Saccharomyces cerevisiae S288C: one gene and its partners. Changing the gene in region 1 together with any one later gene gives a genetic interaction. Each region holds a gene or a part of one and is shown in the gene's direction. Other genes may lie near its edges. The genes, in order: VPS45, IMH1, CEX1 and TRS33.

Region 1 (8,843 bases):
GTCATATGATCCAACTTTTCAACTTTATACAAGATATAGGGGCCACATAGGTGGAAATTCCGTGAAGGATATTCTCAGTCATCGGGATGGTATTTTATCTATTAGTGAAGATTCCTTACACTTTGCTAATAGAAGAGGTGTTACTAAATTGAACCTCACTAGCATTGATATTGCTGCATTTAGCGAATTGAACACTATGTGCTATTCTCCTCATTCACTGAAAAACAATATCTACTGTGGTGGTGACAACACAAATTGGGGAATTGCGTCCATTGACTTGAACAGAGGTTGCTTAGATTCCCTCTTGAATTACTCATCTAAAGTGAAGTTAATGTGCTCTAATAATAAAGTTTTGTCTATCGGAAGACAAACAGGGACTGTGGATTTGCTAGATCCAACATCGAATCGTACTATCAAATCATTTAATGCACACTCTGCATCCATATCCGCTATGGATTTACGGGATAACACCTTGGTTACAGTAGGGAAGTCCAAAAGATTTTATAACTTATACGCTGACCCATTTGTGAATGTTTACGACTTGAGAACAATGCGTCAACTCCCTCCTGTTTCCTTTTCTAAAGGAACAACTATGGGATCTGGAGGCGCAGATTTTGTTCAATTACATCCTTTGCTTCCTACTGTTATGATCGTCGCCTCAAGTTCTGGTTCGTTTGATTTCATCGACCTTTCCAATCCAACTTTAAGAACACAATATGTTCATCCTTGCCAGTCGATTAAAAAGTTATGTTTGTCCCCCAATGGTGACGTATTGGGTATACTAGAAGCTGATAATCACCTAGATACATGGAGAAGATCATCAAACAACATGGGAATGTTTACCAATACCCCTGAAATGCTAGCATATCCTGATTATTTTAATGACATTACCTCTGACGGCCCAATATCTGTCGACGATGAAACATATCCATTGAGTTCTGTGGGGATGCCGTACTATCTTGATAAACTTTTGTCTGCATGGCCCCCTGTAGTGTTTAAAAGTGAAGGTACCATACCGCAATTAACAGGTAAGTCACCCTTACCATCGAGCGGCAAATTAAAAAGTAACCTTGCTGTGATCTCGAGCCAAAATGAGAAGTTGAGCACACAAGAATTTCCTTTGTTAAGATATGATCGCACCAAATACGGTATGAGAAATGCTATACCAGATTACGTTTGTCTAAGAGATATAAGGAAACAGATAACAAGCGGTTTAGAAACCAGCGATATACAGACATATACCTCAATCAACAAGTACGAAGTACCCCCTGCATACAGTAGACTTCCACTGACATCAGGTAGATTTGGTACTGATAATTTTGATTTTACGCCCTTTAATAACACTGAGTATTCAGGATTGGATCCAGATGTTGATAATCACTACACAAATGCTATCATACAATTGTATCGCTTTATTCCAGAAATGTTTAATTTCGTTGTTGGGTGTTTGAAAGACGAGAATTTTGAAACAACGTTGCTAACTGATCTAGGCTACCTCTTTGACATGATGGAAAGATCACATGGAAAAATATGTAGTTCTTCCAATTTTCAGGCGTCATTGAAATCCTTAACTGATAAAAGACAATTAGAAAACGGTGAACCACAAGAACATTTAGAAGAGTATTTAGAATCGCTGTGCATAAGGGAAAGTATCGAGGATTTTAATTCTTCTGAAAGTATTAAACGCAATATGCCTCAAAAATTTAACAGATTCCTGCTCTCGCAACTTATTAAAGAGGAAGCGCAGACAGTCAACCATAATATCACCCTAAATCAATGCTTTGGTTTGGAAACGGAAATACGAACAGAGTGTAGCTGTGATCACTACGACACTACCGTCAAACTTCTACCCTCCTTATCAATATCAGGAATCAACAAAACCGTAATCAAACAATTGAACAAGAAAAGCAATGGACAGAATATTTTGCCTTATATTGAATATGCCATGAAAAATGTAACCCAAAAGAACAGTATTTGCCCAACCTGCGGCAAAACCGAAACTATCACCCAGGAGTGTACTGTCAAGAATTTACCTTCAGTGTTGTCATTAGAATTATCACTATTAGATACCGAATTTTCCAATATAAGGTCGTCGAAAAACTGGTTAACTAGTGAATTTTATGGAAGCATCATTAAAAACAAGGCAGTTCTAAGATCGACGGCGTCCGAATTGAAGGGCACAAGCCACATATTTAAATACGAATTGAATGGTTACGTGGCTAAAATCACTGATAACAATAACGAGACGCGTCTAGTAACATATGTCAAAAAATATAATCCAAAAGAGAATTGCTTCAAGTGGCTCATGTTTAATGATTATTTGGTTGTTGAGATAACAGAGGAAGAGGCGCTTAAAATGACATACCCTTGGAAAACACCAGAAATTATCATATATTGTGATGCGGAAGAATTACGAAAACCTTTCTTTTCTGTTGATACGTATTCCATCAACTATGACATACTTTTCCGTGATTATTTCGCAAACGGAATAAGAGATACTGCAAGACGTGAATATAAGTTATTAACACATGATGAGGCACCTAAATCTGGAACCTTGGTTGCCATTGATGCCGAATTTGTCTCATTACAAAGTGAACTATGTGAAATCGATCATCAAGGAATCAGAAGTATTATTCGACCTAAAAGAACTGCTTTGGCCAGAATATCCATTATTAGAGGCGAAGAAGGAGAACTGTATGGAGTACCATTTGTCGATGATTATGTGGTAAACACGAACCACATAGAAGACTATTTGACAAGATATAGTGGGATTCTTCCTGGTGACTTGGACCCTGAAAAGAGTACCAAAAGGCTTGTGAGAAGAAACGTTGTATATCGAAAAGTCTGGCTTTTAATGCAGCTCGGATGCGTATTTGTTGGTCATGGTTTGAATAATGACTTCAAACACATTAATATTAATGTCCCAAGAAACCAAATTCGCGACACTGCCATATATTTTCTACAAGGAAAGAGATATCTTTCATTGCGTTATCTGGCATATGTGTTGTTAGGAATGAATATCCAAGAGGGAAATCACGATTCAATTGAAGATGCCCATACTGCCTTGATTCTTTACAAAAAATATCTCCACCTGAAAGAAAAAGCTATCTTTGAGAAAGTACTGAACAGCGTGTACGAAGAAGGAAGAGCCCATAATTTCAAAGTTCCAGAAACTTCAAAGGGATAATATGGTGCAGTGCCTTTCACGTAATCTCAAGAGCCACCAGCGCACCACTGGTTGGAAAAGTATACAAAAAATTCAAAAAAATTATAAAATGTTACCGGTGTTTGTGTACTATTATATATACTGTAATCAACATATGCAAACATTTTGAAACAGGTCTTGTTAAACCTTTTTGTCATCACACGCCAGAATTAGACTTCTTTGTGCGATGAAGTAATATCTATTACCAGAAAAGAAGGTCTTACCCTTGTTTGGCCTCTCATATGTTTCCTACTTGTTTCCCGGGCGTCCGTAACGAGTACTGACTGTATGGCGAAAAGTTGCCAGAAATGTTCATTTTTGTTTCTGCCAATTTCAGGAAAGGGTAACGTCATTACAGTTAGTTAACGTTCGAACTTACTTATAGAAGTGCCTTGGCTCATATGCAATGTACCCAGAGTAACATTAAGGAGTGAAGAGGTACAGTGACTTGGTTTTGAGTTAAGGCCATCTTTTACTGTATAGAACAAAGAAATGAACCTTTTTGATGTGGCTGACTTTTATATAAACAAAATTGTGACTTCCCAATCGAAATTGAGCGTAGCCAATGTCAATGAACACCAAAGGATTAAGGTTTTGCTGTTGGATAAGAATACCACACCTACGATATCCTTATGTGCCACTCAAAGTGAGTTGTTGAAGCATGAAATATATCTGGTAGAAAGAATAGAAAATGAGCAACGTGAAGTGTCCAGGCATTTAAGGTGCTTAGTTTACGTTAAACCCACAGAGGAAACACTGCAACATCTGCTGCGTGAGTTAAGAAATCCTCGGTACGGCGAGTATCAAATATTCTTTAGTAATATTGTCTCTAAATCTCAATTAGAACGGCTAGCTGAATCTGACGACTTGGAAGCTGTTACTAAGGTGGAAGAAATATTCCAAGACTTTTTTATATTAAACCAAGATTTATTTTCGTTTGATTTGCAACCAAGAGAATTTTTAAGTAATAAATTGGTTTGGAGCGAAGGGGGGCTAACAAAATGTACCAACAGCTTAGTTTCTGTGCTTTTATCCTTAAAGATAAAACCAGATATCAGGTATGAAGGAGCAAGTAAAATTTGTGAAAGATTGGCTAAAGAAGTTTCCTATGAGATTGGTAAAAACGAAAGAACTTTTTTTGATTTTCCTGTGATGGATTCGACACCTGTGTTACTAATTTTAGATCGTAATACTGATCCTATAACACCTTTACTTCAACCTTGGACCTACCAATCAATGATCAATGAGTATATAGGCATTAAGCGGAATATAGTTGATTTATCGAAAGTGCCTAGAATTGATAAAGACCTGGAGAAGGTCACCTTATCATCAAAGCAAGATGCTTTCTTCAGGGATACCATGTATTTGAATTTTGGTGAATTGGGTGATAAAGTAAAACAATATGTGACTACATACAAAGACAAGACACAAACCAACAGCCAAATAAATTCCATTGAGGATATTAAAAACTTTATTGAGAAGTATCCAGAGTTTAGAAAATTATCTGGAAATGTTGCAAAGCATATGGCTATAGTGGGGGAATTAGACAGACAGTTGAAGATAAAAAATATATGGGAAATTAGTGAAATAGAACAAAATCTATCAGCACACGATGCCAATGAAGAAGATTTCTCCGATTTGATTAAATTGCTACAAAATGAAGCAGTTGATAAGTATTACAAGTTAAAGCTTGCATGTATTTATTCTTTAAACAATCAAACCAGCTCAGACAAAATCCGTCAACTAGTTGAGATTCTGTCTCAACAACTTCCTCCAGAGGACGTCAACTTTTTCCATAAATTTAAATCGCTTTTTAGCCGCCAGGATAAAATGACTCAAAGTAACCATGACAAGGACGATATATTAACCGAACTAGCAAGAAGATTTAATAGTAGAATGAATTCTAAGAGCAACACCGCTGAAAACGTCTATATGCAACATATTCCGGAAATTTCGTCATTACTAACAGATCTCTCTAAAAATGCGTTATTCAGGGATCGTTTCAAAGAAATAGATACTCAAGGCCATAGAGTGATCGGAAACCAGCAGAGCAAAGATATTCCTCAGGATGTAATATTGTTTGTTATTGGCGGTGTAACTTATGAGGAGGCAAGGCTAGTCCATGATTTCAATGGAACGATGAATAACAGAATGAGGGTGGTTTTAGGAGGCACCTCTATACTTTCAACTAAAGAATATATGGATTCTATTAGATCTGCAAAATAAATAAGGATTATCTTATTCTAAAATTCTATTTTATATATGAGGCATAAATCTATATAACTTTTTCGATGCAGATAAAACATTTTACTATTGCCAAGCGAAATTAGGTTCTCATTTTCTTCATTCGGTGCCTAATAATTGCAACTTTGTTCGGTGATCCTTCTATGTGCATGCGTCATAATAACTTAACTGGAAAAAACTTTCTCAACTTACGACAAAAAACTCCGATACGGGGAGTCGAACCCCGGTCTCCACGGTGAAAGCGTGATGTGATAGCCGTTACACTATATCGGACAATAATTGTTGGAAAAATTCCATTACAAAGGTAAATTACTATATGGAAAAACTTTTACACCGTATAACCAATCATATTCGCGAGAAATTAGGCCAATATGAGAAGTTTTTGGAACTTCATTTTTATAAAGACTGTAATAGTTGGTTTATAAAATCATGCAGAATATACTAGGGTATTCTCCTCATGGATAGAGTAATCCGCAAAAGGGGAATCGGTATTTTTATATAATAATAGTATTAGCTCTTTTTTCATTCCCTAGTTATTCTTCTAAATGATCAATACTTGCATATCACCTTCATTAAATCTGAAATATATTTCGCAATCCTTATATCATATTTTTACATCATATATAATATTTGAATGTTAGGTGAATCTTGATAATTGTTGAGATTGCGTTGTTGATAAAGACTATAATATTATGTTACTACAAGTTCTTCTCGAGGATATGGAAATCCTCAAAATGGAATCGGTATTTCTACATAATAATATTACGATTATTTCTCCTTCCGTTCATTATGTTTCATTATCCTATTACATTACCAATCCTTGCATTTCAGCTTCCATTATATTTGATGACTGTTTCTCAATTTTTATGTCATCTTCTTACACCGCATGTGATAATATACTACTAACACGAATGCCGATAAACAGATGATATTTTAGAGTTCCATTCCGACAACAATATGTCAATGGTATGAACACTATTCGATAGATGATAGCTAATTCTTATTCCAATAGTATCATGTATATGACGCTTCATTGAAAACGAAGATAACGCTTGCCTTTATTTATTAAGGAAAGGCAAGTTTGTAGCGACTCTTGAGGGTTTTCAAGTAGCATGTATTACCAAAACGTCTTGACAGTTATAGCAAGGTAATTTGCTGTCTTCTCTTTGTTCCATATGTTAGAAACATTGAGTGTTTGTAGCGCCGCCAGCTCAGGTAGGTTTTATTTCAGTGTACTTATAAGCAAAAACGGATTGTATCATTTTCAAAAATGTATCTGTGGTCCATTTAGTGTTATTGCACACAATAACTCTTTTTGAGGGTTTTCTTGTGTTTTTAGATGAACATTGCTTTCCAAGGCTCAAAGGCTTCTTAGCTTTTGAGAGAATTGCTTGCAACTGTTACTCTTTTTGAAGCAAAAATTTCAGCTGCTAATTAAATAACAGTATAATCCATTAATGCGATTTTCAGAAGATGATGTGAAGTATTAAACCATTCGATGAAGTTAAAGCTAAGCTGCCATTAAATTCAGTGGACGCCCAAACAAAAGGACAGATGATACAACAGAATCAAAGAACGACTTTCTGAAGAGTGAAAGGCAAAATAATTATGGTATTATGTAGAGTTGTTGATTCTCTTGTGTGGACTCATAATTCAGGGGGATAAATAATGATGTCTTCTGTGTACCTAGCATCATGTATTTATTAAGTTTCGAATTCCAAAATTATATTCTTTTTAATAACTTCGTTTTAAAACGTGGCGAATGGCCTGAATTAATGGGATACTCCAACTTGCAACAAGAACTGTAATCTATTGAGTACCTTCTTGCGCTATAGGATAGAAGTAAAACTCACCTTTCTTCTGACGCAATGGCAAGAGTAACAACAATTTTCAAGACACTTAGACTGTTATCACTTTTTGTTTGCCAGAAACTTGCCTTATTCTGCACCTTTCAGACTGTCATATCTCCAAAAAAGTATCCTGGGACGGGCAGCATTTGATTCCTATGGTATACTCCAATACGTACCAGGAGAAGAATTTCTATTATCCATGAGCCTACAGAGATACAAACATAATGAACAAATACACCTACAAAATAATCTGTTGCATCAAAAAAAAAATCACCTGATTGAAGTTTATGTACCAGGTAAACTACGCAGAACAATAAGGTTGTACAGCCTGCCGAGTTATATTTTTCTTTTTTTCTCTTCTGATCGAGAATGAAAAAAAAGCCTGTAAGTGGGTTTATGATGTACAGAGGGCATGGTGCATTTTAATAACTGTTAGTATTTCTTTTGCTCCTCCTATCCAAGAAGGGAAAAATGCTTGGCGACTAGATATATGGTCTGATTTCGTTTCTTTTTCTAGTTGAAAGAAAAGGAAGAAAGGAATGACGGCAGAAAAAGATCTGAGAAAAGTGCGTATATTGAAGCTATACGGGGTATAAAACTTGATATACACGGTAAAAGAAAATACACTGATAACCATGATCATTTTCCAATTTAAGAATATTAAGGAGTAATTTTGTTAATCGAAGATTCTCACCAAAGTTTGTCTTTTTACTTTGAATTTTTTTTTTTTTTTTTTGGAATTTTTATTAAAATTACAAATTTCAAAGGAAAAGTCAACCTACCTCTTAATCTATCTATCTTCTATGCCGTAAACCCATTTTAGGTAATTCCGAAAAAAGTAAAATCAGAACTTAGCTAAATTTGTAGAAGAACTGAATTTTCTTCTGAAATTATTTGCGTCATTCTGGCCAGAAAATATTTTTCTTCTCCTAGCATTAATGAACCAATTGGAAATTTGAAGTTTAGTTAGACCAGTTTTCGCGAGCAGTTCTCTTTTTTCCTGCACGGTTGGGTAAGGGTTGTTTACGTGCTCATGTAACCATTTGTTTAGAATTGAAACGGTGGCCTTTGGTAAATTGGACCTCTTACCATGTGCCTTATGTTTTTTTTCTTTTGCGGAATATCCATTATTAGATCCGCGGACCGAGTTCGTACTTATGTTGCCGGATAGCATTTTACCTCGGGAAATGCTAATAGGCTGAGGATTTGTATAACCACCTATCATCATACTCTCATTTACCGGATGAGGTTGTGCCAGTCTCTGCTCTTGATAGAAATTGGGAGTTGAGATATGCTCATACTCGGGCTGCGAAGAAGTTACCGGAGGCCCCCCTACAGTTATTATGTAATTTCTCTCACCCGTAGATATAACTTCTCGGTTATTATTATATATAACTGGATACTGACGTATGTTTTGAGTCATAATAGCGTTGTGATTCTGAATGCTTCTCTGTGGAGAAGGACCAATGAAAAAAACAGGGGATGATACTGGAACCGGGTTAACTGGGCTACCAACTGCTATATTTGTTCTAGGAACAAATGAA
Region 2 (9,767 bases), on another chromosome or scaffold:
GCTAGTCTATCCCAGGATATGACAAAGAGTGCAGATGGCTCATCTGAGATGAATACAAACGCAATTATGAATAACAATGAAACAAATTTACAAACTTCTGGTGAGAAAGCAGGTCCCCCACTAGTAGCAGAAGAAACAATTAAGATATTACCGTTGGAAGAGATAGAAATGATTATTAATGGTATACGTTCGAACATTGCTTCGACTTGGTCCCCCATACCACTGATAACGAAAACATCCGATTACAAGTTGGTATACTATAACAAAGACCTTGATATATACTGTTCAGAATTACCCTTGATTTCTAACTCAATTATGGAATCCGATGACATTTGTGACAGCGAACCAAAATTCCCGCCCAATGATCATCTTGTTAACCTATATACTAGAGATCTGAGGAAAAATGCGAATATTGAGGACAGTTCTACGAGATCGAAGCAATCGGAAAGTGAACAAAATAGATCAAGCCTTCTAATGGAAAAACAGGATTCAAAAGAAACTGATGGAAATAATAACAGTATTAATGATGATGATAATAATAACGAAAATAACAAAAACGAATTCAATGAGGCTGGTCCTTCATCATTAAATTCTTTATCTGCTCCAGATTTAACGCAGAATATTCAATCAAGGGTAGTTGCCCCAAGTCGCTCTTCTATACTGGCCAAGAGTGACATCTTTTATCACTATTCAAGAGATATAAAATTGTGGACAGAATTACAAGACCTAACAGTTTATTATACTAAAACGGCTCACAAGATGTTCCTTAAAGAGAATCGTCTCAATTTCACGAAATACTTTGATTTGATATCAGATTCAATAGTCTTCACACAGTTAGGCTGCAGGCTAATGCAACATGAAATTAAAGCCAAAAGTTGCAGCAAGGAGATTAAGAAGATTTTCAAAGGTCTAATCTCTTCATTGTCAAGGATAAGTATCAATTCTCATTTATATTTCGATTCAGCTTTTCACAGAAAAAAAATGGATACTATGAATGACAAGGATAACGATAATCAGGAAAATAATTGTTCTAGGACGGAAGGGGATGATGGTAAAATTGAAGTAGATAGTGTACATGATCTAGTTTCAGTTCCATTGTCCGGTAAACGTAATGTAAGTACCAGTACAACGGATACATTGACTCCAATGAGATCATCATTCAGTACAGTCAATGAGAACGATATGGAAAATTTCTCAGTCTTAGGTCCAAGAAATAGTGTTAATTCTGTCGTAACACCAAGGACTTCAATACAAAATTCTACTTTGGAAGATTTTTCACCGTCCAACAAAAATTTTAAGTCAGCTAAATCGATTTACGAAATGGTTGATGTGGAATTCTCGAAATTTTTAAGGCATGTTCAGTTACTTTATTTTGTGTTACAGAGCTCAGTCTTCTCAGATGATAATACTTTACCACAGTTGCTCCCAAGATTTTTTAAAGGTTCATTTAGCGGTGGTTCTTGGACAAATCCATTTTCGACTTTTATTACGGATGAATTTGGTAATGCGACAAAGAACAAAGCTGTCACATCTAATGAAGTGACCGCTTCGTCGTCCAAAAATTCCTCAATATCAAGGATTCCACCAAAGATGGCAGATGCTATTGCCTCTGCGTCAGGATATAGCGCTAATTCAGAAACAAATTCCCAAATTGATTTAAAAGCAAGCAGTGCCGCGTCTGGTTCAGTTTTTACACCTTTCAACCGTCCTTCTCATAACAGAACCTTTTCAAGAGCAAGAGTTTCAAAAAGGAAGAAAAAATATCCATTAACTGTAGACACTTTGAATACAATGAAGAAGAAATCCTCGCAAATTTTTGAAAAATTAAATAATGCTACAGGTGAACACTTAAAAATTATAAGTAAACCCAAAAGCAGAATTAGGAATTTGGAAATAAATTCAAGCACATACGAACAAATAAATCAGAATGTTTTACTATTGGAGATACTGGAGAATTTAGATCTGTCAATTTTCATCAATTTGAAAAACCTGATTAAGACACCCAGTATTTTGTTGGATTTGGAAAGCGAGGAATTTTTAGTTCACGCCATGTCTTCGGTCTCCTCAGTACTAACAGAGTTTTTTGATATAAAGCAGGCTTTTCATGACATCGTCATCAGATTAATAATGACAACGCAACAAACGACCTTAGACGACCCGTATTTGTTTTCCTCAATGAGGTCCAATTTCCCTGTCGGACATCATGAACCTTTCAAGAATATCTCTAATACACCTTTGGTCAAGGGCCCCTTCCATAAAAAAAATGAACAATTGGCACTCTCCTTATTTCACGTATTGGTGAGTCAAGATGTGGAGTTCAATAACCTTGAATTTTTAAACAACTCCGACGATTTTAAAGATGCTTGTGAAAAGTATGTCGAGATTTCTAATCTTGCGTGTATTATTGTTGATCAATTGATTGAAGAAAGAGAAAATTTGCTGAACTACGCAGCAAGAATGATGAAGAATAATTTGACTGCAGAACTATTGAAAGGTGAGCAAGAAAAATGGTTTGATATTTATTCCGAGGACTATAGTGATGACGATTCAGAAAATGATGAAGCTATCATCGATGACGAATTAGGATCTGAGGACTATATTGAACGCAAAGCTGCGAACATAGAGAAAAACCTTCCATGGTTTTTAACTTCAGATTATGAAACTAGTCTTGTCTATGACTCAAGAGGAAAAATTCGTGGCGGGACAAAAGAGGCACTGATTGAACATTTAACCAGTCATGAACTTGTTGATGCGGCTTTCAATGTTACAATGTTAATAACTTTCAGAAGTATATTAACCACAAGAGAGTTTTTTTATGCCCTGATTTACAGGTACAACTTGTATCCTCCTGAAGGGCTGAGTTACGATGATTACAATATTTGGATAGAAAAAAAGTCAAACCCGATTAAATGCCGTGTGGTCAACATTATGAGAACATTTTTGACGCAGTATTGGACAAGAAATTATTATGAACCTGGCATACCACTGATTCTAAATTTTGCCAAGATGGTTGTATCGGAGAAAATACCGGGGGCAGAGGATCTTTTGCAAAAGATAAATGAAAAACTGATAAATGAGAATGAGAAAGAACCAGTGGATCCTAAGCAACAAGATTCGGTATCGGCAGTCGTACAGACAACTAAACGTGACAATAAATCACCGATACACATGTCTTCGTCTTCTTTACCATCTTCTGCTTCTTCAGCGTTTTTTAGATTGAAGAAATTGAAGCTCTTGGATATTGACCCATACACATATGCCACACAATTGACTGTACTTGAACATGACTTATACCTCAGGATCACTATGTTTGAATGCTTGGATAGGGCATGGGGTACCAAGTATTGTAATATGGGTGGTTCTCCGAACATTACGAAATTTATAGCTAATGCTAATACGCTAACTAATTTTGTTTCTCATACCATTGTAAAACAGGCAGATGTCAAGACACGTTCAAAATTAACGCAATATTTTGTTACCGTTGCCCAGCATTGTAAAGAGTTGAATAATTTTTCTTCAATGACTGCCATAGTGTCCGCTTTGTATTCCTCCCCAATCTACCGACTGAAAAAGACATGGGATTTAGTTTCCACTGAGTCGAAGGACCTTCTGAAGAACCTAAACAACCTTATGGATTCCAAGAGAAATTTTGTGAAGTATAGAGAGCTGTTGCGATCCGTGACGGACGTTGCATGTGTTCCCTTTTTTGGTGTATACCTATCTGATTTAACATTTACGTTTGTCGGAAACCCAGATTTTCTTCACAATTCAACCAACATAATAAACTTCAGCAAGAGGACTAAAATCGCAAATATAGTGGAGGAAATTATAAGCTTTAAAAGATTCCATTACAAGCTGAAACGATTGGATGATATTCAGACCGTTATAGAAGCGTCTTTGGAAAATGTCCCCCACATTGAAAAGCAGTATCAATTATCACTGCAAGTGGAACCGAGATCAGGAAACACCAAAGGCAGTACGCATGCTTCTTCTGCTAGCGGTACAAAAACTGCAAAATTCCTAAGTGAATTTACAGATGATAAAAATGGCAATTTTTTGAAGCTAGGTAAGAAAAAACCTCCTTCTAGGTTATTTCGATAAAAGTTTATACAATTTGCTAATCAAGAAGAACCTTAGCTTTATGTTTGATTGCTACACTCTATTATTTAAGATGGCTGCTTTTACTTAATATTCTTCGTGATAATACTGTACTGGTGGAGTGTTTTTCGTTTTCGAGGATTTGAGAGTACGCTTCATTTGCAGTTCTTCTTGATAAAGTTCGTTTTATATATATATATCTATTTTATATCTTTATATATTTTATTACACCCAGTTAAGTTATCGATCCAAGATTTTAAATGCCCGATTAGAGGAAACTTATTACCTGAAAAAATATCAATTAGTGATTCTATGAAAAGCTATTACCCGCATTCTCATAGTTCGGATTTTCAGATCCAGCAATATAAGAGAACCAAATGTAGCAGAAACGTCAAATAGTAAGCAACAGGAGTTACATTTGAGGTGATTTTAACTTAGGGAAACATTTGCTGATTCAATGTTCAAACAGCTGTCACAAATTGGTAAGAATCTTACCGATGAATTAGCGAAGGGCTTAGCCGATGATATGAGCCCTACCCCGTCAGAACAACAAATCGAAGATGATAAGAGTGGCTTGCCAAAAGAAATACAAGCTAAATTAAGAAAATTTGAGAAATATGAACAAAAATACCCTTTGCTACTCTCCGCATACAAAAATGAAAAATTAAAGTCAGAGAAGTTAGAGGCTGTTGAAAAGATTTTAGCGGAAAATACACCCATATCTAATATTGACGACGCAGTGGATACGTTGCCAGCTTTTTTCCAGGATTTAAACAACAAAAATAACCTATTGAATGATGAGATCAAGAGATTAACTAAGCAGAACTCGGAAATTCCAGAAAGCGCCTCTAGTGAAACTCTGAAGGATAAAGAAGAGGAATTTTTGAAAAAAGAGCAAAATTATAAAAATGACATAGACGATCTAAAAAAAAAAATGGAAGCTTTAAACATAGAATTGGATACTGTACAAAAAGAAAAAAATGATACTGTTTCAGGTTTGAGAGAAAAAATAGTTGCACTGGAAAATATACTAAAGGAAGAAAGGGAGGCCAAAAAACAGAAAGAAGAAGTATCTATATCCGAACTGAAGGAAGAATTGGCTATAAAGAACCATTCTCTCGAGGACAGTCGAATGAAGATAACCGAATTGGAGCAAAATTTGTCTTCGAAAAGTACTATAATGGAGGAAAAGTCCTCAGAGTTGGCAGAACTAAATATTACTTTAAAAGAGAAAGAGCGCAAGCTGAGTGAATTGGAAAAAAAAATGAAGGAGTTACCGAAGGCGATATCTCATCAAAATGTAGGAAACAATAACAGAAGGAAAAAGAATAGAAACAAGGGAAAGAAAAATAAGGGAGGCATAACTACGGGTGATATCAGTGAAGAGGAAACGGTCGATAACTCAATCAATACTGAAGAATATGATAAGCTTAAAGAAAATTTGCAAGAATTACAAGAAAAATATAAAGATTGTGAAGATTGGAAGCAAAAGTATGAAGATATAGAAGCAGAACTAAAAGATGCTAAAGAATTGGAAAACTCACAGCTCGAAAAATCAGCAAAGGAGCTGGAAACCCTTAACACCGAGTTGATCGATACCAAGAAGTCATTGAAAGAAAAAAATTCGGAGCTAGAGGAGGTGAGAGATATGCTGAGGACTGTAGGCAATGAGCTTGTGGACGCAAAAGATGAGATTAAAGAGTCTTCGAGTAAACAAAATGAAGAAGTGAAAACCGTTAAGCTGGAGCTCGATGATTTACGCCATAAAAATGCAACGATGATCGAGGCCTACGAAGCTAAAAATACTGAGTTGAGAAGTAAGATAGAGTTATTGAGCAAGAAAGTAGAGCATCTGAAGAATTTATGTACAGAAAAGGAGAAAGAGCAGACTACATCGCAGAACAAGGTAGCCAAATTAAATGAGGAGATATCTCAACTTACCTACGAAAAATCAAACATAACAAAGGAGCTTACTTCTTTAAGAACCTCTTATAAACAAAAGGAAAAAACTGTGAGTTACTTGGAGGAACAAGTTAAACAATTTAGTGAGCAAAAGGACGTGGCTGAAAAATCCACAGAACAGCTGAGAAAAGATCATGCTAAAATTTCTAACAGATTAGACTTATTAAAAAAGGAAAATGAGACACTGCATAATGATATCGCAAAGAATTCTAATTCCTACGAGGAGTATTTGAAAGAAAATGGTAAATTATCGGAAAGATTGAATATTTTGCAAGAAAAATACAATACCTTGCAAAATGTAAAAAGTAATTCGAATGAACACATAGATTCTATCAAAAGACAATGTGAGGAACTAAATGTCAAGTTGAAGGAATCTACAAAAAAAATTTTATCTTTAGAAGATGAACTAAATGAATATGCTAATATTGTTCAAGACAAAACCAGAGAAGCTAACACATTGAGAAGGTTAGTTTCGGACAGTCAGACAGATGATTCGAGCAAACAAAAAGAGTTGGAGAATAAATTGGCCTATTTAACGGATGAAAAGAATAAATTGGAAGCAGAATTAGACTTACAAACATCCAGAAAGGCCACTGAATTACAAGAGTGGAAGCATACAGTAACTGAGCTGAAATCGGAAATACACGCTTTAAAGCTTCGTGAAGAGGGACTAAAATCAGAGGTTGACGCATTGAAACATGTTAACAATGACATCAAAAGGAAGACTCAAGCCACTTCAGATGATTCCGATCAGTTGGAACAGATCACATCTAATTTAAAACTCTCATTGTCTAAGGCTGATGAAAAGAATTTTGAGCTACAGTCTGCCAATGAGAAACTTCTGAATTTAAATAACGAACTTAACAAGAAATTTGATCGATTACTAAAAAATTATCGTTCATTGTCCTCTCAATTGAATGCTTTAAAGGAAAGACAATACAGTGACAAGTCAGGAAGAGTTAGTAGGTCTGGTTCTATCGGTACTCTAGCTAACGCGAATATTGATTCCTCACCAGCGAATAACTCTAATCCAACTAAATTAGAGAAGATACGATCATCAAGTTCATTGGAGTTAGACTCTGAGAAAAATGAAAAAATTGCATATATAAAAAATGTTTTGTTGGGATTTTTGGAGCACAAGGAACAACGGAACCAATTACTTCCTGTAATTTCTATGTTGTTACAACTGGACAGTACTGATGAAAAAAGACTGGTTATGTCTCTGAAGTAAAAATGTAGCTGAAAGCAGAAGATACGTATATATTGAAACAGTTTTTTTCTTCCTGAAATATATCAAGAAGTTGCTGCATGTCTATATATAAAATACTAAAGCAATTTCTTTTTAAATTGTAATTTAATTCTTCCTTATTTTCTTCAATTCCCTGAAAATTAGGACAAGAATTCTTTTATGTAATCAATTCCGCCGACACAATGAGAAACTGTTGATTGATCATCACCTATCAACTTATTTATTTTAATGGCAAGATCGACAGTTTTTTCCGTTGAATCGTGTTCTAATATTAATCCGGTTCCTGACTTGTTCCAGTTTATTACATTTTGAAGAATTTCTTGTTCAGTTATGACAGAATCATTGAGAAGGAGGCTCCAATCAAAAGTATCGTGATCCCATAAGACGGCTTGTAAGCCAAATTGCCTTGTTATTGCTCTTACTCTATTATCTATTCCGCCATATGGAGGTCTGAACCATTTGGGGGTATGGTTGCCAGTAGCATTCATCGCCCAGATGGACCATTCAATTTGAGCTATAATTTTTTCATTCGATACATTTGGCAAATATACGTGAGACCAGGTATGTGAGCCGATTAAGTGTCCCTCCTTTTGCATTCTTTGATAGATATCTGGATGTTGAACTATATTGACACCTAAATTGAAGAAGGTGGAATTATGCTTCAACCGGTCCAATAATTTAGTAGTGGAAGCAGAAGGACCATCGTCAAATGTCTGGGAAAGTTTGGAACATGTGTACACATCATCGTGTTCGGTGCAGTGATGGCAATCGAAAGAGCACGAGTCCCTTGGAACACTGTCGCAATGGTTTTGATCATATTCCTTATAATCTGGAATTTGACTGAAATCAATGAAATCTAAAGGTATATAAGGTGGATCTAACCCAGGCCATTCTTTTAACCCGGTAAATGCACTAAGCCAATCCGGAAAAGGCGTTTTTGTAGCTGCCCTTTCCAATACAGGAAATTGAAAGTCTATCTGCTTTAAATCTTCCCTATTAGCTTCCGCGTGAACAAATTGCCCCAGACAGGAAAGTGCAATAATACATTGCAAATCAATTGTATTTAGTTGTATTCTCATTTTCAATTGCCGATCCGTAGAAATAATAACAACTCTTTTGCAGTTTGTTTACCCACTGTGGGTTTTTGATAAATAATAGAGGATTACTGAAGGAGAGAGAATATTTTAAATGGATTTTGATAATACTACAAAAGAATAGCCAGTAATTTTTGCGTTGCGTCACAAAATCAAATATCTAGTTTGTTCCCTGACGCATGTTTCTCATGTGTTACCCGTCCTTTTGTAACCTTCACTGCTACAGCCGTACTATGTGGCATTTATGGGTTAATAGAAAGTTCCATTAATCCGACATTAAAATTGGATGGATTAATGGAGAACACAAAGGCAAAAAAACAATGGAAGAACAAAGAAAATTTAGCGGAAGTAAAAATAACAGCCGAAAGCCAAATTCAGGCTTATCTTGCCTACTCTTTCTTTTATCGAATTCCTTTAGGCCGTTGCAATAGAAAAGTAATAAAAACGCATATACGTAAGTTGTAGTCAGTGTAATTGCAATCTATTATGCGCATCAGGTGCGCATACTACATCCATTGGTGCACAAAAAAAGGAACGCAGACAAGAAAATTATTCAGTTTGCTGTTCGTGATGAGCCATCCCTGAATATGACTAATGTTAATGTTCAATTTGGGATCTTATTTTTTTTTGTGCAGTAATAAGAATCTTTGAAAAAAAACTATATAAGCCTATATAGTTTGTAAGATATAAGACAAAACACACCTGCTTTTCCACTACACATTTTCGTTATTATATAAAAAAGACAGCCAAGTATACTTGTCAACAAAATAAACTCATAGCAATTACACTATAAAAACAATAGCATCAAAAATGTCACTAAGAAACATATCAATGATCACAAAAAATTTGCAAACAACTGCCAAGTGTTATGTCCCAAAAAGTTCACCTACATCAACAACTATTCCGGTTATAAGGGATGCTAGTACTACTCAATGTCGCAGAATAACTACCGTCATCAATATTACGAGTCTGAAAGGATATTCTCCATCTCCAAGAACAGTTCATGATAAGCCAATTGTTATTTGCACTGACAACGAAGAGGTAGAGACTGTATCGGAGCACGTAAAAGTATAATTTGAATTAATCTACTCTTAACACTGTTCAAATGTACGTGTAACGTTTTGACGCTAAAAGATTCTAAAAAATTACTTTTTAAAGTTATACCCTCTGACTTTATGTGACATCAGCATCCTAAGTACCTACCGTTCATAATTTGACGCTTTTCCTTATACATTCAAGCATCGATATATATGATTTTTATATATGTCCTCTATTCTAATACATACTTTTTTACTTTTGAAATAACAAAATATTCTTTTTATTTTTGCGAGTTGAATAATTAAATAAGAGATCAAAGATATATA
Region 3 (5,385 bases), on another chromosome or scaffold:
GAATCGGAAATAGATTGTATGAGGGAAGCTGGGAGAGACTTGTTGGCACGGAGCTTGCTTTCCCAAATGCTGCACATGTACATAAAAAGACAGCCGGTCTACTATCACCGACTGAAGAGAATGAAACAACAAATGCTGGTCAAAGTAAAGGCTCATCGACTGCCAACGACCCAAACATACAAATACAAGAAGAAGACGTTGGACTACCGGATTCAACTAACACAAGTAGAGATCACACGGGAGATAAAGAAGAGGTTCAATCAGAAAAGATTTATAGAATAAAAGAGAGGATAGTGCTAAGCAATGTCCGCCCTATGTAATATGTATTTTGTAGCAGCAGCAACCTTATTTAAAGAACACAGGTGCATCTGCTTGTTTATTACCTTTCGTGTATTTTACCAGACGAAAAGCGTGAAGAGACGTAAGGGCAAAATAACCCAGTTGAACACAAGAAAGGAACATCTGACCGCATCAAAAAAAGAGCACATTCACCAAACGTAATGTCTGGAAATAGTCAACTGCCACCCGACGTAATCGGGTTTATATGTTCTAAGTATGATATCATTTTGGCCAGCACCTCTCCACGGAGGTATGAAATTTTACACGATATAATGGGAATCACCGATTTAAAAACAATGGTTTCTACTTTTGAAGAGAATCTTGATAAAATGAATTATTCTACCGATCCGATTGGATATGTGTGCGATACTAGCTGGCATAAAGCGCAGAATATAATCGAGATTTTGACAGATTACGAAGATGAAAACCCAAATGAAATTGATAAACCTAAGCTTATCATATGTGCAGACACAATTATTATAGATAAGAGTGGGAGAATCTACGAGAAGCCTAAAACAAAAGAGGTCCAAAAGAAGTTTTTAATGAAGTTTTGCTATGAAGATGATGAACCAGTTAACGTTGTCACCGCTGTGACTTTAATTAAATGGTACGGCAGAGAAAACTTTGAATTGGTACCATTCCGAGATGAAACCAAGGTATACTTTGATAACAAAATACCTTTGAGAATATTGGAAGAATATGTAGAAAGCGGAGATGGGCTGGAGGTTGGCGGTGGATTTAAAATACAAGGGCAAGGTGCTATTCTAATTGAAAAAATTGAAGGTGATTACTATAACGTAGTTGGTTTACCGCTCAATAAAACGTTCAAAGGACTCTATGCTGAGGCTAATTCCATATAACCTTCGTTTAGGTTTTCTTTGGTGTTGCTCAGTTAACTATGTTAATCTTTGCAACACCAGAAGAATGAGTGGAACGGATATTAAAGGCCACATTGGTGAATAGATACATGCGCTAAATAACACGGCTATTAACATTCTACGAGACAGTTTTTCGATTGATGGTAAAGAAAGTTTAAAGCAATACGCATTTTGAATTTCACGCTTTCGCGCACATCTTCTATTTTTTTCACCTTCAAAAAGGCCCTTTCTCTTTGTCTGTTTATATTATGATTATATTAAATATAAGTATCTTAAAAACAATAATATCGTCAAGTTATTTAGTCGAGAGTTTGACACTGTTACTATCGTTGCTTTTATTGGTGAACAAGTATCTGTAAGTGATGAATTTTTCCAGCATTTTCAAATCTATTTCGAATTTCCAGTTCCCATACACCATAGAGGAAACTGCAATCACTGAAACCGCCCTTTGGCAATGTTTCGATGGTACAAGGAAGGCAGATTCCTTGCCAGTAACAGTTTTTAAGGCAAAAAGATCTCCAGAAAATGAATCTTTAATTTTAAATGCTGTACACAAGAGCAAAATTTTGAAGATTCCAGGACTTTGTACGGTGCTGGAGACATTTGATTCCGACCCCCAATCCACATTTATTGTTACCGAACGAGTAGTTCCATTTCCTTGGGATAATCTAGGCTCTTTATCTCAAAACAAATTTGGTGTTGAATTAGGAATATCACAATTATTGGCAACTTTAGGATTTTTAAAAAACTTTGTCCTTGGTACGCTTTCTAAAGATTCTGTTTTTATCAATATTAAGGGAGAGTGGGTACTATTTGGGCTAGAACTTTGTTCAAGCAAAGAAGGATTAAGTGCGTTTGAATTTGCCAGTAGAGCGAGGTCATATTACAACATAATTGGCTCACAGTTGCCCTGTGAAGATCCGAATACAATTGATTCAATGGGGTTAGGATTGTTGATAAAGAGCCTTATGGCTCCTTCTTGTCTGCCCAAAGATTGGATTGTCAATGTAAATATGATTTCAGATGGAAAGATAACAATCGAAAACTTCAGAAAAAGGCTAGAAAATACAGAAACTTGGCGTTCTAATCCTTTGATAAACTTTTATCAAGAATTGAGGGAGTTGCATATAAAGGACCCACAGGGAAAATTGGTTGTGATGTCAAACTTGGAAAATTTGTATTTAGAGTCAAGAGAGATTTTCCGTAATTTAACGCCTGGAATGATAGAAAATTTTATTATTCCAGAGCTTTGTGAAATTATAAAATTATTAATGACACAAAGCATCAGTAGTGCTGCCAGCCCTATAGGCATGAACTTCAACGCATCACATAAACTAGTACCATTCTTAGCGATTGTTTTAGACCTAACTTCTGAAACGAACACCTTTCCAGTTGGTTTCAACGACCTTATCACCCAAAGTTTTAAACTGCCAGATAGGCAAGTAAGATTTCTTTTACTAATATACCTACCCAAATTAATAGGTCCATTGAGCAAATCAGAGATCTCCAGTAGGATATATCCACATTTTATCCAAGGTCTGACCGACTCTGATGCCACTCTTAGATTACAAACACTGAAGACAATTCCATGCATTGTGTCATGTTTAACAGAGAGACAACTGAATAATGAGCTACTGAGGTTTCTCGCAAAAACACAGGTTGATTCTGACGTTGAAATCCGAACATGGACAGTCATCATAATAAGTAAAATCTCAACCATATTATCAACGTCAGTTGGTAATCGCTCGAATATTTTAGCTACGGCGTTCACAAAATCTTTGAAAGATCCTCAAGTAAAACCAAGATTGGCTGCTCTTTATGGGCTTGAGAAGTCGATTGAGCTGTTTGATGTGAACACAATCGCCAACAAAATTTTAACAGTCATTGCCCCTGGTTTATTAGATAAAAGTCCCATAGTAAGAGGCAGAGCCAAAATCCTGTTCGAAGAATATCTGGAAAAATTGGAAAAAGAAGCCCAACTTATTCAAACAAACGATAGTACTGCAGATTCGGAAGATGTGAAAGATATTGATTTTGAGAATTACGGTTGTGATGAAGAGGATATGAATAAAGAAGACAATTTGTTAGCCGCACAATTTTTAAATAATTTACGTTTAAATTCTCCCTCAGCAACAACACCAAGTAACATTACCGAGAGCGAAATTGATTCCGCCCAGGATGGAAGTGGATGGGACGACCTCAGCGATACCGATGGCTTTATTACAAATGGTACCACAGAATCCTTCGATGAAACAACAAACCCTGTAACAACCGCAAGCACCCCAAAATTATTCGGAAAACCTATTAAAATTAATAAAAGTTGGAATGATGAGTTGAATGATGATGGCTGGATTCAAGATGAAAGCGGCCCATCAAAGGTGCCTCAAAAACACACAAGGCCACAAAATTCAACGTTGGCAAAATCCATCGCTCCTAGCTCAAGGCTTTCTATCAAGAAGAAGAAAACAACGATCCTAGCACCAAGAAACATTGCTAGTAACTCTACTGTTACCACCAAATCGTCACTGTCCAATAAAACTGCAAGAAGTAAGCCTATAAGTAGTATCCGCGGCTCGGTAACCAAGAAAGGAAATGTTGACGGCTGGGATGATGATGGGGATTCAGACTCCTGGGATACGAATTGGTGATCCCAAGACTTATATAGCCCTACGTATTGTAGAAGGATATATTCAGTGTTAATCGTTATTTAGAAACATTACGCCCGTGCCCCGCGATTTCGCTTCTTTGAGAAGTGGAGGAAAAGAAGGGTCCCTTTAATTCCAGTAGAAATGAAGCATAAGCAAGAAGAGTCATCAGAAAAGGGAACCTTGTAGTACTATAGATGGTCCCACAGAGAAATTAATTGGGACAAAAACAGCTACACAAGCGATATACTTCAAAAGATTCAGATATTGAAAAATTACCAGCCATGCCTCCTCCAACTGCACAGTTCATGGGCCCTACGCAGGCGGGACAAAATGAAAGCCAAAATCAATCATCAGGCGAAGCTGGGGAGCAAAACCAGGAGCATGGGCAAGGCCCTACTCCTATTCTTAATCAAAGTCAACCGGCTTCTTCTCAACCGCAACATCAACAACAAAGGAATGAGTCGATTTCATATTATACAAATTTCAACCAGCCACGATATTCCACGGACGCCTCTATCAACTCATTCTTGAACATATCTGATAACGTACCAGTAACAAGTACAGGAGGACCTAGTTCTGGCGGCGCCTATTCCAATCTTCCACGATTATCCACTTCAAGTACACATCAACCGCCAGACCTGTCGCAAATCGGACGCGGCTTTTCCATTGTAAACAACCTCTTCCCACAACAACAGCAGCTTCAAAATCAGCATCGGCAACAGCAGCAACAACAACAACAGCAGTCGCACCAGCAGCCTCCCTTCAAGACCCCTTCATTTTCGACGGGATTAACGGGAAGTTCTTCTCAATATCAATTTTTACCAAGAAATGATAATACTTCGCAGCCACCTTCAAAAAGAAACTCTGTTTATCTTGGACCTAATGATGGGCCTGATTTTGAATTTTTCAGTATGCAGCAGTCACAGCAACCGCAGTTCCAGCCTAGCAGTAGAAGAGAATCAAACTCTATGAGACCTCCACTGTTAATACCTGCAGCAACTACTAAAAGCCAGTCCAATGGCACCAATAATAGTGGGAATATGAACACAAATGCAGATTATGAATCATTTTTTAATACTGGTACAAACAACAGTAATTCTAATCAGAACCCGTACTTTTTGAGTTCAAGAAATAATTCTTTGAAGTTTAATCCTGAAGATTTCGATTTTCAATTCAAAAGGCGGAATTCTTTTGTTAGAGGTACTTTGGACCATAGCAGCCAAAATGCGTTTATACCTGAATCAAGATTAAACTCACTATCCGTTAACAACAAAGCTAATGGTGATCCTGTCGCGGATAATGTTACCAATAACATGAAAGGAAAAAGTAATGAAGTTGACAATGATGATGGCAATGACAGTAGCAATAACAATAACAACAACAACAACAACAACAACAATGAAAACAACAATGACAACAATAATGATAATAACGACAATAGTATTAATTCCGCCACCAGTACTAATATCCCAAACCAAGAGGACCATAGCCTTGCTTCTACCGATACCACAAGCAATAGT
Region 4 (2,902 bases), on another chromosome or scaffold:
TAGGCCTATTAGAACCTCCTGCAAAAGAATTACAAGGTATTGATCCAGATGAAACCGTTCCTGATAATGTTAAAACATCTGTAAGCCAACTTTATAGAATCAGTGAAAAATCGGTGAGAAAGTTTTTAGAAATTGCTCTTTTCAAATATCGTAAGGCAAGACTGGAGCCAGGTACTGCTATTGGTGCTATTGGTGCTCAATCCATTGGTGAACCAGGTACACAAATGACATTGAAGACCTTTCATTTTGCAGGTGTGGCTTCCATGAATGTTACATTAGGTGTTCCTCGTATCAAAGAAATTATCAATGCTTCCAAGGTCATTTCTACACCTATTATAAATGCTGTATTAGTAAATGATAACGATGAAAGGGCTGCTAGGGTTGTTAAAGGTAGAGTGGAAAAGACACTGCTATCTGACGTAGCTTTCTATGTCCAAGATGTTTACAAAGACAACTTGTCTTTCATTCAAGTGCGTATTGATTTAGGTACGATTGATAAACTACAATTGGAGTTGACCATAGAAGATATCGCGGTTGCTATAACCAGGGCTTCTAAATTGAAAATACAAGCCTCTGATGTCAATATTATTGGTAAAGATCGAATTGCAATCAACGTATTCCCAGAAGGGTACAAAGCAAAATCGATATCTACATCTGCGAAAGAACCAAGTGAGAATGATGTTTTTTACCGAATGCAACAGTTACGTCGTGCGCTTCCTGATGTTGTTGTTAAAGGTTTACCTGATATTTCTCGTGCGGTTATTAATATTCGCGATGACGGCAAGAGGGAATTATTGGTTGAAGGTTACGGCCTGCGAGATGTGATGTGTACAGATGGTGTCATTGGTTCTAGAACTACAACTAACCATGTTTTAGAAGTCTTTTCCGTTTTGGGTATCGAAGCTGCAAGATATAGCATTATTAGAGAAATTAACTATACCATGAGTAATCACGGTATGAGTGTCGATCCACGTCATATCCAACTATTAGGTGATGTGATGACATATAAGGGTGAAGTGTTGGGTATTACAAGATTTGGTTTGAGTAAAATGAGGGACTCTGTTTTGCAGCTAGCCTCCTTCGAAAAGACAACTGACCATTTATTCGATGCGGCCTTTTATATGAAAAAGGACGCTGTTGAAGGTGTTTCTGAATGTATTATTTTGGGTCAAACGATGTCGATCGGTACCGGTTCCTTTAAAGTTGTTAAAGGTACTAATATATCTGAAAAGGATCTGGTTCCTAAGCGATGTCTATTTGAAAGTCTCTCAAATGAGGCAGCTTTAAAAGCGAACTAAAGTAGTCGTTTTTAAACTTTTTTATAGCATTTGTATTATTTTTCTACCACAGTCATTTAACGTATTTATACATATAAAACTACATGATAAAAACCATGAAACAAAATTTACTTATAAGAAATTTGCTTTCTTCACATTAGTAGAACCAGCGTATCGTTTTCAAAAACTCGCGTCAACGTTTTGAGACCAAAAATGCTAAATATTTTGGAATCTGGTATGCACTCACAAGCTGAGAGTGAAGACCTCATGCCATAAAAGAAAACATACACCGGTTATAAAGTTGGAAGATAAACAATTATGTCCTCTACACATAGTAATAATGTAGGACATCCCCAATCTTCTCCACAAGGTCCACTAACGGAACAACAAAGAGCACAACAGCAATATCAAATTTTTGAGAATTCATTACCAAAAGTAAGTCAATCTGTGTATCAGATGCTGTTGAACGAGATGGTTCCTCTAGCTATGGGCATTGAGAGGCAAATATCAGGCGATGTTATCAGTTCTGATAGCAATGTAACTTCCGAAAATGGTAACATCAACAATATGATAAAGAGACTGAAGATAGAGGAACATCATACAGTAGATATCATACGTTCTCATAACTTGATACATGAGCTGTATAAGGCGGATGAAGAGGAAAAAGAAAAGGTTTTAGCAAGACTGAGGAATATTGGGTTTCAAATCGGATTGAAGCTGTCAGAGTTATTGATATTTTCTAACAACCCAAATTTAAAATTCAAGGAAATGGACCTTCTATTAATAATGAAGTTCATTTGTAGGGATGTCTGGAAACAAATATTTGGTAAACAGATCGATAATTTAAAAACAAACCACAGAGGAACCTTTTACCTTCTTGATTATGACTATCGACCTATTCAATCATTTTCTTTGGAGGAAGATGCAAAAAACGAGGAGTTAAAAATGATAGAACCGTTTTTGGAGATACCTGTGGGAATTATTAGAGGCGTGTTGTCTTCCTTAGGTTATTCATCTGAAGAGGTCATTTGCTTGGCGTCTTTTATCGACAGGCCAACAGATAGGCCTAAAACAGCTTTTCCCAAGGGAGTTAGCTTCCATGTTCAAGTCACAATGCCGCAGTAAAGGTCCGACAGATTTTTGTTCTAAGAATGTACATCGACATATAGATAGATATAAGTGTGTATATAAAAGAACAGGTGACTCCGTTTTCAAAATAATACCCTTACTATAAAATCTTGACAATAATTTCTTTGATCAAGGTACATATAGTCTTTATGATAGTGAAGTGCTTTCGTGGACTCTTCTTAAAGCCCTAAAAGTCTATTGTCATTTCTTTTTTAGTAGGTACGTCATGGGAAGAATATTATTTGGTTGTGTATTTGTATCGTGATTCGCTGCTGTAAGATAGGACTCACTTCTGAGACCAAACTTTGACATGATATCCATGTTTTTTTGTAATATTTGTATCTCGTTATCCATCATTTCCTCAAATTTTGCCCTCCATACCTGTAATTTTTTTCTAATTTCTAGTTTCTGGTCATAGTCAACCTCTTCGTTCCAAGCATACCGGCATTCTTTGCACATTTGTTGAAACCTTTTCATATAATCATAAAGGTAATTTT

The links.
Region 2: mutations in VPS45 (region 1) and IMH1 together harm fitness more than expected from each alone (negative genetic interaction), as found in Saccharomyces cerevisiae (2 studies listed by BioGRID).
Region 3: mutations in VPS45 (region 1) and CEX1 together harm fitness more than expected from each alone (negative genetic interaction), as found in Saccharomyces cerevisiae (2 studies listed by BioGRID).
Region 4: mutations in VPS45 (region 1) and TRS33 together harm fitness more than expected from each alone (negative genetic interaction), as found in Saccharomyces cerevisiae (2 studies listed by BioGRID).

The regions. Positions count from the first base shown.
Region 1 is NC_001139.9:325,462-334,304, reverse strand, and holds VPS45 (Vps45p), read left to right. Parts: upstream 1-3,697; coding exon 3,698-5,431; downstream 5,432-8,843. Other genes in the region: PAN2 (poly(A)-specific ribonuclease), read left to right, coding at 1-3,187; TOS8 (Tos8p), read right to left, coding at 8,144-8,843. UniProt on the Saccharomyces cerevisiae protein: Essential for vacuolar protein sorting. Function in membrane traffic between the Golgi and the vacuole.
Region 2 is NC_001144.5:746,558-756,324, reverse strand, and holds IMH1 (Imh1p), read left to right. Parts: upstream 1-4,555; coding exon 4,556-7,291; downstream 7,292-9,767. Other genes in the region: Ras family guanine nucleotide exchange factor CDC25, read left to right, coding at 1-4,101; chitin deacetylase CDA2, read right to left, coding at 7,450-8,388; DPA10 (Dpa10p), read left to right, coding at 9,214-9,477. UniProt on the Saccharomyces cerevisiae protein: Involved in vesicular transport between an endosomal compartment and the Golgi apparatus.
Region 3 is NC_001147.6:529,929-535,313, forward strand, and holds CEX1 (COPI-interacting protein CEX1), read left to right. Parts: upstream 1-1,579; coding exon 1,580-3,865; downstream 3,866-5,385. Other genes in the region: transcription factor TFIIIC subunit TFC7, read left to right, coding at 1-320; YOR111W (nucleotide diphosphatase), read left to right, coding at 501-1,199; AZF1 (Azf1p), read left to right, coding at 4,147-5,385. UniProt on the Saccharomyces cerevisiae protein: Component of the nuclear tRNA export machinery that my collect tRNA from the nuclear tRNA export receptors of the aminoacylation-dependent export and may deliver aminoacylated tRNAs to the translation machinery pathway at the nuclear pore complex.
Region 4 is NC_001147.6:538,159-541,060, reverse strand, and holds TRS33 (Trs33p), read left to right. Parts: upstream 1-1,595; coding exon 1,596-2,402; downstream 2,403-2,902. Other genes in the region: DNA-directed RNA polymerase III core subunit RPO31, read left to right, coding at 1-1,298; mitochondrial HMG-box protein CIM1, read right to left, coding at 2,607-2,902.